2 linked regions of the Mus musculus genome follow. The protein of the gene in region 2 purifies or fractionates together with the protein of the main gene of each other region. This does not show direct contact. Links are inferred from orthologs where the notes say so. Each region holds a gene or a part of one and is shown on either strand. Other genes may lie near its edges.

The links.
Region 1: the proteins of Cfap20 (region 2) and Clasrp purify together in Homo sapiens (affinity purification with mass spectrometry; 3 studies listed by BioGRID and IntAct, counting the BioPlex papers as one, with this or other methods). This does not show direct contact. The link is inferred for Mus musculus from reciprocal best matches to the Homo sapiens genes CFAP20 and CLASRP.

Annotation. Positions count from the first base shown.
Region 1 is NC_000073.6:19,582,413-19,588,378, forward strand, and holds part of Clasrp (CLK4-associating serine/arginine rich protein), read right to left. Parts: intron 5,455-5,966; coding exon 5,413-5,454; intron 4,516-5,412; coding exon 4,300-4,515; intron 4,199-4,299; coding exon 3,929-4,198; intron 2,936-3,928; coding exon 2,678-2,935; intron 2,412-2,677; coding exon 2,372-2,411; exon of another isoform or gene 2,119-2,371; coding exon 2,058-2,118; intron 1,931-2,057; coding exon 1,872-1,930; intron 1,790-1,871; coding exon 1,743-1,789; intron 1-1,742. UniProt on the Homo sapiens protein: Probably functions as an alternative splicing regulator. May regulate the mRNA splicing of genes such as CLK1. May act by regulating members of the CLK kinase family.
Region 2 is NC_000074.6:95,431,316-95,437,812, reverse strand, and holds the start of Cfap20 (cilia- and flagella-associated protein 20), read left to right. Parts: upstream 1-2,943; 5' UTR 2,944-3,241; coding exon 3,242-3,325; intron 3,326-6,497. UniProt on the Homo sapiens protein: Cilium- and flagellum-specific protein that plays a role in axonemal structure organization and motility. Microtubule inner protein (MIP) part of the dynein-decorated doublet microtubules (DMTs) in cilia axoneme, which is required for motile cilia beating.

The sequences.
Region 1 (5,966 bases), on a different chromosome or scaffold from region 2:
TTAGAGGACTGGCCAATTGTCTCCCCACAGCCAGGACTGGGAACCCTGGCAGCCTTGTCTGCCCCCTGTTCTCCCAGGGGGCCTGTGAGAAGGACCAGGATCATATCCAGAGAACAGCAGAGCCAAAGAATTGAGGCTCACACAGGGAGGATGCAGACAGACAGTGCCAGAAGCCAACCTGACCAACAAACCGAAGCCAGGGTTAGCCCCTGGAGACTCTTCCAGGGTTCTGTCTTTGAGAAGGTTGTTGATGTAGCTAGGATTGGTCTTGAACTCTTGATCCTCCCGTGGAACTGTACAGGCATTGAACACTATGCCTGTCCTCTTCCTCTACCACAGCCATGTTTGACACTCAATAATGAACGAGCCACAACACAATAATATAAGCACCGTGTTGCAAATATGACAACCCAAGTTCCACCCTCAGGTCCTACACTGGAAGGAAAGTCCTGGTATCTACAAGTTATCCCCTGGCCTCCCCGCACACACATGTGCACTGGCTGCTCATGCTCCCTCTCATTCTAGCTGGCTGGCTCGTTCTCCCCCCCCCCTTGGTTTTTCGAGACAGGGTTTCTCTGTGCAGCCCTGGCTGTCCTGGAACTCACTTTGTAGACCAGGCTGGCCTCGAACTCAGAAATCCACCTGCCTCTGCTGGGATTAAAGGCGTGCGCCACCACCGTCCTGCCTCCCCCACCCCTTCCCCTCCCTCCCCCTCCCCCTCCTCCTCCTCACACCAAGACAGATAGGTCTTCCATGCCTGTAATCACAGCTCTTGGGGAGATGAAGCAGGACTGCTATGAATTCAAAGGTAATCTGGGCCACAGAGTGAGTTACAGGCTACCCAGATCTACACTCAGACACTTATCTCAAAAAAGAAAAACAAAAGGGCAAATTATATATTGTAAAGAAATGACGCCAGGCGTGGTGGTGCACGCCTTTAATCCCAGCACTCGGGAGGCAGAGGCAGGAGGATTTCTGAGTTTGAGGCCAGCCTGGTCTACAGAGTGAGTTCCAGGACAGCCAGGGCTACACAGAGAAACCCTGTCTCAAAACACCAAACCCCCGCCCCCAAAAAAGAAATGACAAAGCAGGAGCTGGCCCTCCCACAGCACATTTGGCTGTCATGGCTTACCACAGAGATAGGAGCCATCCTCACCACTGTTCCACAGAGGAAAACAACTGAGCTCAAAAAAGCAAAATGTTTGTTCCTCCACTACAGCAGAAAGAACTGACAGAACAGGCCCAGCCCTGACTAGCTCCCCTCTTTGCCAATACACAATGCAACAGCCCAGGCTCTGCCAAAGAGCCCTGGGCCAACTGAGGTCTTCCAGTAGTACTCCTAGCTGCCTAATTTGGTGGGCACTGAGGGGATGAGTCCCCACCCCAGAGCCACCTGATCAGAGACTAGGATACCTGAAGCTAAACCCCTAGGCCCAGGCTCTAACTCTGCCTAACACAGAGTGGTGGAAGGGAGAGAAGGGGGAGAAGGGGGAAAAGCTCCTGGGCTGAGACCTGCCACAGGCAGCCTCACTTCAGCACTGTGAGGCGTCAGTCGCCAAGGACACAGCTGCCAGGCATAGGGAGGTCAGGGCGTTTTAGGATGCTGCTCAGACATGAGGTCAGAAGGTGAACAGGCCACCAGGGGGAAGGGGACAGCAATGGCAATGGATTTCAGGACCAGTGAAAGGAGCCAGAGGACTCCAAAAGGAGGCTGCTGGGTGGACCACAGGTTGGGGCCTTACTTCATTCGGATCTTTCGGGCCATGGCTCGCAGTTCATCCTCTCGCTCCTGCAGCAGAAACAGCTGTGAGAGGTGGTCCAGCCCCCCACTCCACCTGTGTGCCCTGCCCATCCGAGGAGCACAGCCCGACCTGCCGCTCATGCTCCTGCTGGATCATCTTCTCCTGAGCTGCCTTCTTATCCGCCTTGACTGTGGAGGGAGAGTGTGAGGTTGAGGGCTGTGCTCAGTCCCATGCCAACCTGACCTGCTCAGGCAGGCTCAAGAGAGGTCAGCCCACTCTCCCCACGGCATTGGCTGGATTGGAGGCAGGACTTACACTGGCGGTTCAGAGCCTTCTGCATCCGAAGCTTCAGCCTCTCCTGTGGGGTCAGCTTGGGCTGGGGGAGAAGGGGTGGGATAGGCGTGGGTGCCCAGAGCTCGCCCAGCCCACCTCAGTCAAGAGTCTGGGACTTGGGGGCCAGCTGGAGTCCCATGGGAGGCAGGGATGGGACTTAGTTTGCCTGGGTAGCCCTTCCCCAGTCTCTGGGCTGGCTCTCCCCTCCCCCTGGGCCCCCTGCAGGCCCACCGGGCCCAGCTCTGGACACTGCTGCTGACGGGAGTTAGACGGGCGAGTTCCAAATTCTTACTGACTTTGGCAGCTCCTGTCTCTTTACCAGCGGCAGGCTCGGTCCTGGGTTGAGAGAAAATGGCAATGCCACCGTTACCATAGGCACTGGCATCGGCCATGGGCTCCAGATTCCTCAGGATATGTCCCTGACCCCCAGAGCCCAGACAGGGCCATATCCCTCTCTGACAGCCTACTCAAGGCAAGGCCACAACAGCACTCACCCTACACTGCAGTGCACACACCTCTCACAATAGCCAGGGTACTGTCACAGTCCCTTCAAAATGAATTTCATCAGGGCTCCCTCAGAACCAGCCAGGCTCCTAACTCACTTTTTCAGCTTCTCGCCCACAGCAGGGGACGCTGCCGGCCTGGTCAGCTTCTCCCTTGGGGGCGATGGTGAGTGACTCTGGCTCTGGCTGTGGCTCTGGCTGCGGCTTCGGCTCCGGCTCTGGCTGCGGCTTCCGCTCCGGGTCACACTGCGGCTTCGGGAAGGGCTGAGGGACCAGCTGCTGCGGCTATGACTGCTGCTATGGTGCCTGGGGCCCCGGGCACCCCGCTTATAGCGGTCACCTGAACGGGAGCGGCTCCTAGGTGTAGCAGAGGTGGAGAGCTGTGAGGCCTCAGGGACCTACAGGAAGTCACCCCAATTCCCAAATCGCTAGGCCTCCTGCAGAGTCCAGCACTTTCCCCACACACTTCCCTCAGAAAGCCCCAGCTGCTCCCTGGCCACCTTCTAGAACAGTCAGCACCCCACACCCTCTCCCTCAGGTGCTAACATCCTGGGGGAGCTCGGGGCATTCAGATGCCTCACTCTGCTCCCTGTCCCATACCAAGCTCCGCTCTGCACAGCCCCAGGGTTTCCCCGCTTGGAGTACTGGTAGGATTCTCAAGAAAGCAGTCACACCCAGGCTGGCATTCAATTTGTGGTAGCCCCATTCCCCCGCCCCTGCCTTTCCCCTGTGGTCATGCTACAGGGAAGACGCCTGGCAACATGGACGCTCAGCCTCCTTAGAGCAACAGAAAGATAAGGAAGGGCTCCCAGTCAGTTAATGACTGATACCCCCATAGTTGTGTCTGTTCTACAGATGAAGACATTCCAGCTCTGTCACTAAGCCTAGCCCTATCCAAACTCTCTACCGCTGCTTTCCCCAACCAAACCTAAAAATAGCCACAGCCCAAGCTCATTGGTCCCCTGAGAACCCCAGGGTTTCCCCGCTTGGAGTACTGGTAGGATTCTCAAGAAAGCAGTCACACCCAGGCTGGCATTCAATTTGTGGTAGCCCCATTCCCCCGCCCCTGCCTTTCCCCTGTGGTCATGCTACAGGGAAGACGCCTGGCAACATGGACGCTCAGCCTCTTCTTCAAAGACTGTTGCCTGGCCAGCCCAGAGGTTCCCAGGTCCAGCAGTCTGGGAAGTCCAGGTAAAAGCCAAGGAGATACCTCCATGCCCCGCCCCATACTTTGGTACCTACCCTGTCCTGCTTCCAATCAGGTGCTTCCCAAGAGAAGAGGGGCTGGCCTGGTCTGTCCCCAGCCCGCCTCCCCCCTAACACTCCTGCTCCTTAACATAAGTCACAGACCTGCTCCTTCGGCGGGGCACGTACCCGCCGCGCCGGGCAGGGGAGCGTGAGTAGCGGTGTCCGTCGCGGGAACCGCCGTCTGAGTGCCGCCGTCCGCGGCTGCGGGAGCGTGAGTAGCGCCGGGAACGGGAGCGTGAGCGGGACCAGGAGCGGGAGCGGGAGCGTGCGTGGCGGCCAGAGCGGTAATAGCCACGGCGGGAGCGCGAACTGGAGCGCGAACTGGATCGGGAGCTGGAGGTCCTGGAGGCGGAGGACGAAGAGGAGCGGCGGCTGTGGGAGCACGGGGAAAACAGGGTTTGTGAGCGACACTGTCCTAGAGGGCCCGTCCCTCCTCCCGGAGGTCCGCTAGGGCGGGCGTGAGCGTTACCGACCGGGTGCTGGCATTACGGCCTGGAGCGGGGCCACCCGTTTGGGGAGGCGCAGGGGGCTTCCCTGGGGCAGCCCCGGATGCGGCGGCTGCAGCAGCTGCAGCAGCTGCCTCCTCGTCGCTGCCTCCAAAACTGGTGATGAAAGTGATTTTTTCCTCGCGGCCTGGGCTCGGGGAGCGAGAGCGGGAGCGGGACTCGGAACTAGATTCTGAAGGTGACCTGCAGCGAAGGATGAGCAAAAGGGAGGCAGCACTCAGAGCCCCAGCTGCACCAGGGCCCTAGTGGGATGTGTGAGTTCAAAGCCAGCCTGGTATACATCAAAAGCGAGGACAAGAGCTACATAGAGAGAACTTGTCTCCAGAAAAAAGAAAAAATTACTAAGTTTCTGGCTGGTGCGATGGTTCTGCAGGTGGGAAGGCTCTTGCCTGCAAGCCTGACAACCCGAGGTCAATCTCAGAATCCACACAGTAGGGTAGAAAGAGAACTAAGCTGTCCTTTTACCTTCAGCTCTGTGGCACATGTGCACCAACCCCACCCAGACTGATAAATATAATTTTTCACAAAAGAAAATGGGCAGGGGGTAGTAGGGGTAGAGGCCAGCCTAGTCTACATAGAGAGTACCAAGAGTCCATGTCTCAATAAACAACAACAAAACAAAACAAAAGTAGCTGGCTTTCTGTGCTAGTAAAATGAAAGACGGTGTAGTGCAAAGAAGGCTTTGCCGATGCAAGAGACCTTGGGTTTCAGCCCTAGAACGGTAGCAAAACACAGTGAGGTCTTCCTGCTTAACCTGGAGAGGAGGTCCTCAGCTAATTCCAGCCCATGAAACACTGAGCCTAGTGGGACTCCCTTTAGGGAAAAGCAGGCCAACACAAAAGGCCCCACTCCCTGGCCTTAGCAGAGAGTGAGGGGAGTTTCTCACTAATTCTGGGAGTCGTGTGTTAAACACACCCAATCTCTATGCCCCTTTATGTCCTAAAGAGATTCTAAATTAAAAAAAAAATTTGGAAAAACAAAACTGATATAGACCCAACCCCTATCCATAGACCACAGGATGCCATCTGTAACAGGAGTGACCCAAACAGGAGTGACTTCTTCCAGAGCACTGACACTTACCGCTTATAGGGGTCATAGGTGGGGCTGTCTCGGCGGGCATAACTATGGAGAGAACAGGGAAGGGCAGGAGAGCTGAGACCAGGCTGGCTAGTGTCAACTATTCCACTCTGAGCCCCAGTGCTGCAGATTGTACACCCCATGTCATTGTGGGGATCCCACATTGGTCTCCTTATTACAGCCCTGGTGCTGCCAGTGCTACACTGGAAGCCATGGTGACCAGTACCCAGCATGGTGACATCAGTGCTGGCGAGAAAACAACAGTATGTCCAACTAACTCAGTGCAGTATCTGAGTCTGAGGATTCACACTCTTCATAGGGGAGGAGCGGTCCCTGTGAGGGTAAGTAACGTCCTCTGGTGGCAGTGCCCTGTGTGGAGGGGCCTGTGGCCTGCTGCTAACCTTACACTGTCACACCCAAACCTTCCTCAGACATTTGCCCAGGGCTCCCAGGCCCAGATTCTTCTCTACTCATATGCAACTGCTCTCCCAATCCTCTCAAGACTTCATTGTGGGAAGTAGCCTCTCTCCACTTTACAATGGAGGAAACTAGCCAGA
Region 2 (6,497 bases):
TCTCCTCCCCCCCAACCCCCATCCTTCTTTATCTCCTATCTAGTGCCACTCAGTGATAGATGCTTGTGTAGTGAGTGCTAGGTCTCACAATTCAATAAAGGATAAAGAGCCTCAGTGGAGACCTGGGCAAAAGACACAAACAAGCAATTGGAAATTAAATTTTCTTAATGTGGGAGGGGGAGGGGAGAGGGCGAGAGAGAGATGCATGTGCAGGAAGCTCAGAGAACAACTTCTGGCAGGCATTCATTCTCTACCAAGTGAGTCGGATCACCAGGCTTGGTGCCAGGTGTCTTTACCAACTAAATCCTCTTGCCAGCCCCAAATAAAAGCAATTCAAATACCTGTGAAGAGGGGTGGGAGAAATGGCTCAGTGGTTAAGAGCACTCACTGGCTGCTCTTCCAGTAAGATTCCTAGTTCCCACAGGATGGCTCACAACTCTCTGTAATTCCAGGCCCTCTTCTGGCCTCTATAGACGCATGAGAGGTGCACAGACATCCATGCAGGAAAAGCACCCATACAAGTATATATACCAAAAAAAAAAAAAAGAAAAGAAAAAAGAAAGAAAGAAGTGACTTTAAATTAATTTTAAATGCCCATGATGAGATGAGCCAGAATATTAGTCATCAGAAAATGAAAAATAAGCCAAACCAACATGTATATAGTTCAGACTTGTAAATTTAAGAAAACAGACTAACAGGAATTGTGACTATAAGCATTGTCTATGGGAATGTAAATGGCTACATGATTTGTAAGAGCTGTTTGGTCAAATTGAACATGTGTGTTTATTGAGATCTAGTTACTCTAGAGCAGACATGCAAGCCAAAGAAATTCTCATCTGGTTTTTTTTAAGTGGAATATGCATAAAGATGGCCATTCCTGGAGAAGGGGAGAGATAAATGTAGATGCCTACCTGGGAGGACAGTGACGGATTCCACACCCACTGGCCCAAAGGATGGATCTTAACAACCACAGCAAGGGATGCTGTGCTCAGTTCTTGTCTGTTTTAGGACAAAGACAGCTTCCGTGGCTACCTGCACACATTAATATGTGGTGGGATGCGGGCCGAGAAGGAGGGCAATGCAGGGAGGTGTGGAGACAATAGAGAGGCATACAATTATTTCCAAATGGTGATATTATAAATGTTACTTTTTATAGTTTCCTCAATATCTATATTACATTAATCAGAAAAAAATGAGACAGGGCTCAGAACCTTCTGAGGGGCTTAGTTATCACCTTAATTTTCTATTACTCATTCCATTTTCTATTTCCAGACTTAGTACTGCTGAATTATTTTTAGAAATAATTTACTTTCTATAAGACGCCAAGTGGTTAGTTATGTGCAGTATTGAAATCACCATCAGAACTCATATACCATCATTTCTCTTTTTTTATATTTTTTATTAGGTATTTTCCTCATTTACATTTCCAATGCTATCCCAAAAGTCCCCATACCCTCCCCCCGACTCCCCTACCCACCCACTCCCACTTTTTGGCCCTGGCGTTCTCCTGTACTGGGGCATATAAAGTTTGCAAGTCCAATGGGCCTCTCCTTCCAGTGTATACCATCATTTCTTATCTTGAATCTTTTTCCTGAGGATTTTGTTTAAGATTTCTATTTATTTATGTTTTGTTTCTGAGTTCTCTATCTGTATGTACACCTTCAGGCCAGAAGAGGGCATCAGTTCCCATTACAGATGGTTGTGAGCCACCATGGGGTTGCTGGGAATTGAACTCAGGATCTTTGGATGAGCAACCAGTGCTCTTAACAGCGGAGCCATCTCTCCAGCCCCGAGGATATTTTGAACAACTTAAAAACAATCAAGCTATAAATTATTCACTTGGCTTAGAGTACATAAAGAATTCCCAGATATCATGCAAAAATTAATTCCATATAACAAGTTTCATTTTTATATAGTAATAGATTCACATAGTTTTCACGATATCTAGAAATTCTGGCTGGAGTACTCAAAGCTTTGGTGTGAGGGTAGAGTGAGTTAATACAGGGTAAGGCATCACATATACCCGTCACATAGTAAATGTGTAAACTTTGCAACTATGATCGTTAAAATTGCTAAAGTGATCGTCTGTGCTTCAAACTCTTTTCTGTGCGCCAGAACACAGGCCTGGGTGGAACACCATTTAGGAAGACGCTCAGCGACTGGTGGAAGTCTTCCACACTTGAGATTTCCTTCTACTTGAAATACACAGCGTATGTCTTTCCTACAATATTCCAGAAATTGACACACTTTTTTTAAAAAAATCAGCTGTCGGTTCAACTCAACTATTCCACTTTTAAGATTTTATTAATTTTTGTTTATATCTTAATATTCCGGCTTTCTTCTTTTCGAATCAATGCATTTAAAGAGATACGCTTTCCCCCAGAGTATTGCTTTTACAGCAGCTCATTCACTGTAACTTGATAATTAAAGGTGATGATGTAAATTGGGCAATCAATACTGGTTCATTAGCTCACACGTTCTCCTGGGCCAACCAATATTTGTTTTTTGCGACAGGGTGTCTCTGAGTCCTGGCTGTCCTGGAGCTCGATATGTAGACCTCAAATTCAGAGATCTTTCTACCTCTGCTGGGATTTAATCCGGTACTAGGATTAAAATCTGGAGTCAACACACCCAGGGATAATATTTATCTGTCGTTGGCACAAAGCCACCTTCCTCACTCTTCCCGCCCTTCGGGGGAGGGGTCTGGCATGACTCCACCCCTCCACGCGCCTCCCGGTTCCCATGACACCACGCAGGCACTGTAAACACGTGAGGTAAACTTAAAGTCTCCTTCCGCTGTTCTAAACCAAGTCTGGGCCCCGGCGGGGAGGGGCGGGGAATAGTCCCTTGGCAACCAAGTTCCGCGCCCGAGGGGGCAGGAAGGGGCGGGCCTAAGGGCGGAAGGAACCGGAAACCGTTCTTTCTGCGGCAGGACTGGGCAATGCGCCTCCGAGGGGCGGGCCCAAGCGTGCGGAGGGATCCGTGGCGGGCCGAGGCGGCGCTCCGCCTCCTCTCCGGCAGGCTCGGCGGCGCGGGCGGCAGTTGCTGTGGTTTCGGTGCTGAGGTGGCTCGGTGCTCACCGAGGCTTACGGATCTGCGTCACGCCGCCGCTTCCCGCCGTCAGTGGCTGCAGCTCTCAGCGTCCTACCTTCGGACCGGCGGCACCCGCTCTCTTTCGCCGCTCGGTGCCGATCTCCAATCCCGGGCCTAGGGCGGCGGCTGCGGGGCCGCGGCTGGCGAGATGTTCAAGAACACGTTCCAGAGTGGCTTCCTTTCCATCCTCTACAGCATCGGCAGCAAGCCCCTGCAGATCTGGGACAAAAAGGTGAGCGGTGGGGGCGGGACGGGGGTGGGGCCGACTAGCCGCCCACGTGATGGAGTGGCTACCGAGCCTTGACGTCCCGGTCAGTAGAATGGGGGCAGAGTGCCCACAGCCTAGCTTGAAACGCATAGCACTTTGAAGAAAGACATGCATGTGTTCGCTGGTGCCAAGCACTGTTGCTGCACTCCATACGGAGGGCCTTTTCCCCGGACATCCTGAGCACCGGCCAAGCCAGACTTGTTCTGATCCCATTCATTAGCTCCATCCGTCGACAGCCAAACCTTTGGAACTTGCTGCGAGCCCTCTGTAACTTAGAGTCCGTACTATTCTTCCTGTACTGGCCTTCTCCATTGGGAAACCTGCAAAAAGGTGATTGTTAGGGGCTTCTCGAGAGCCAGTATCAAGCCTCTGTATTTTTATCCAGCCGTCCTCTAGAATGGATGGTGTTTTTGCTTGCCACATGAGATGGTGGCCTTCCCTGTTCACTTTTGGAGATATTAAGATCTAGATGAAATGCCTTGCCGTTTCTTTTCTCATGAAGATTCCTGGGGCAGTGAGCTGGACCGTTTTTTTGTTTTGTTTTGTTTTTGAATATAAAGTGGTCACTCTAATGTGGAAGCCAGGTGATTTAGGGAATATCTTTAGTTCTGCCCTCGGCTGGGGAAGATGGAGAGAGGTGATATGCCTAGTGTGGTGTTCATAGAGATGTATATAGAATGGGTGGAGTAAGTCAAGATTATTCGTAGTAGGACTAGAACAATGTCTTTCCTAATTCACAGAGAAGGGCTTTGAGACACACAGTGGTTGACAGAGTACCTGCATTGCCTTCTGTTTGTCACTGCTAGGCAGTCGTGTGTTCTGAGGACAGCTTTGAGAGAAACCTGTTGGGAGTGTCTTGTCATTTGGCTAAGACAGTTGAGAGTTCCTCAAGATCTGGCCTTTGGTATGTAAGCAGTCTGACCAACTCTTTCAGATCCATAGCTAGAGTTATGTCAAGAGTATCCCATAGGAAGCGGACCCTTAGCTCCCCCCATCCCACAATCTCCTGAGTGTTCGTTCACTTTGAAATGAAGCAGCAGGAGCTCTTAAATGAGACCTGCAGGGAGAACCCAGAGACAGTCCACCTGGCAGTGTTGGGAGGGTGCTCACCAGCCTTGGTATCTTGCCTGTTCTGCACAGCCAGAGGGCACAGAGAGAGAGCAGGCTTGTGTGCTGCTTGAACTTGGAAACTGAGCTGTCTGAAGTGTTGGTGTAAAGCAGTCAGAACAGGGCTGGAGAACATGCTGTTTTGAGATGGGAAAGAAGTGTCGGAGCGTCTATCAGAGGGTTCATTTACCCCCTGGCTTTTCTCTGTGATGTGTTTTATTCTTTCAAGCCCGAGTTTTTGACTAGTCAACATGTTTACACATGGCATAGAAAGCAGAGTAACCATGGTGCACTGTGTCCCTTAACAACGCCTCTAAAGGTCCAGTGGTACCCTGATGACATAAACAACATACACAACATTATTAGGGCAGAGTCACATGGAGCAAATTAAACAGACATTCTTGCAAAAACAGGAATTAATTACGTTTCTAACTCTTGTTTGGATTTGACAAACTAGTGTTTAAGGGAGAAGTTTTCTCCAACTGAGGCAAGAGGGGGCAAGAGAAAAAGAAGAAGTTTAGGCCTATCCACATCAGCTTTATTGTATTCAGGCTTTTCCTCAGTTAAGCGATCTCAGTAACTGGGGATGCAGTCCAGTCAAGGAAACACTGGAGTTGGTCATGTTTATCAATGATTTATTGAGCAACATCTGAGTGATAGGCCTTGTACAAAGAAAATCACCCTTCTCCTGGGAACTAAGGCAAAGCTGTAATAAGGTCAGAGTCTGGTTGTAGGGTAGGGGCGACAGGGCTGTCTACATTACCAACCTGTGCCTTGGCCCTTTGCCAGGAGGCACTACACACTGACTGGGATGATTATTTTGAGTCCTTATTTTGATATCACAAGTATTTACTATTCTGACTTTTGCGTTTGTGCACAGAGAAAATGCCTATTTGGTTTCTATGAAAAACGATCTTGAAAGATTAGGTGTAGCATCTGCTTAGGCTTCTGAAATTAAGGTGATGTAGTCATTGTCCTTTGGCTTTTCCTCTCCTAAACCTCTAATGTGGCACTGAGGCAGCGCTGAGACTAACTAGTTGTCCAGGCTCACTCACCGGTTCCACTCCCTCCTTAGAGACAGGCTCCTGCTGCATGGAGGCCATGAAGCGCTCTGCACGCAAAACCTCCCGCACGCACTTGGTGCTCCTGGCCTTCACCCACATCTTCCTTGGTCTTTGGTCACAGAGCAGAGGTAGCAGTGCCTCTGATGCTTGCCTTGACCCCACAGGGTCATTTTATCAGCTCCCAGCCTCTTCATCCTCCTGTCCCCACACTGGGACTTAGTTAAGAGCTGAGACAGATCTTTGTTGGCTTTCAGACCAAGAGCTTAGAAAAAAATCAACAGGTTCTTTAATGTCCCTTTACTTCTGGAACCAACAGATCCGACTACCTTTATTAAGAATGTTAGGGCTGGATGGGTACAACTTTAATTAGATGAGTCTCTGGGAGTCTGAGTCTAGCCTGGTGAACATAATAGCAAATCCTAGCTAGGGTGACTTAATGATGTACTGTCTCAAAACAGAAATAAAACGAAGAATGTTGCTCCTCCTGCACTGCACTGCGTGAGTGTCAGTCGGCTTTGCTGCTGCACTGGGAGCCCATGGCGCTGGCTGCCCATGGCACTGGCTGCCCATGGCACTGGCTGCCCATGGCACTGGGAGCCCATGGCACTGGCTGCCCATGGCACTGGGAGCCCATGGCACTGGCTGCCCATGGCACTGGCTGCCCATGGCACTGGCTGCCCATGGCACTGGGAGCCCATGGCACTGGCTGCCCATGGCACTGGCTGCCCATGGCACTGGCTGCCCATGGCACTGGCTGCCCATGGCACTGGCTGCCCATGGCACTGGCTGCCCATGGCACTGGGAGCCCATGGCACTGGCTGCCCATGGCACTGGCTGCCCATGGCACTGGGAGCCCATGGCGCTGGCTGCCCATGGCACTGGGAGCCCATGGCACTGGCTGCCCACGGCACTGGCTTGTGTTGCTACTAGAAGCCCATTGGGCTGATTTGTGAGTGCTGCTCTCT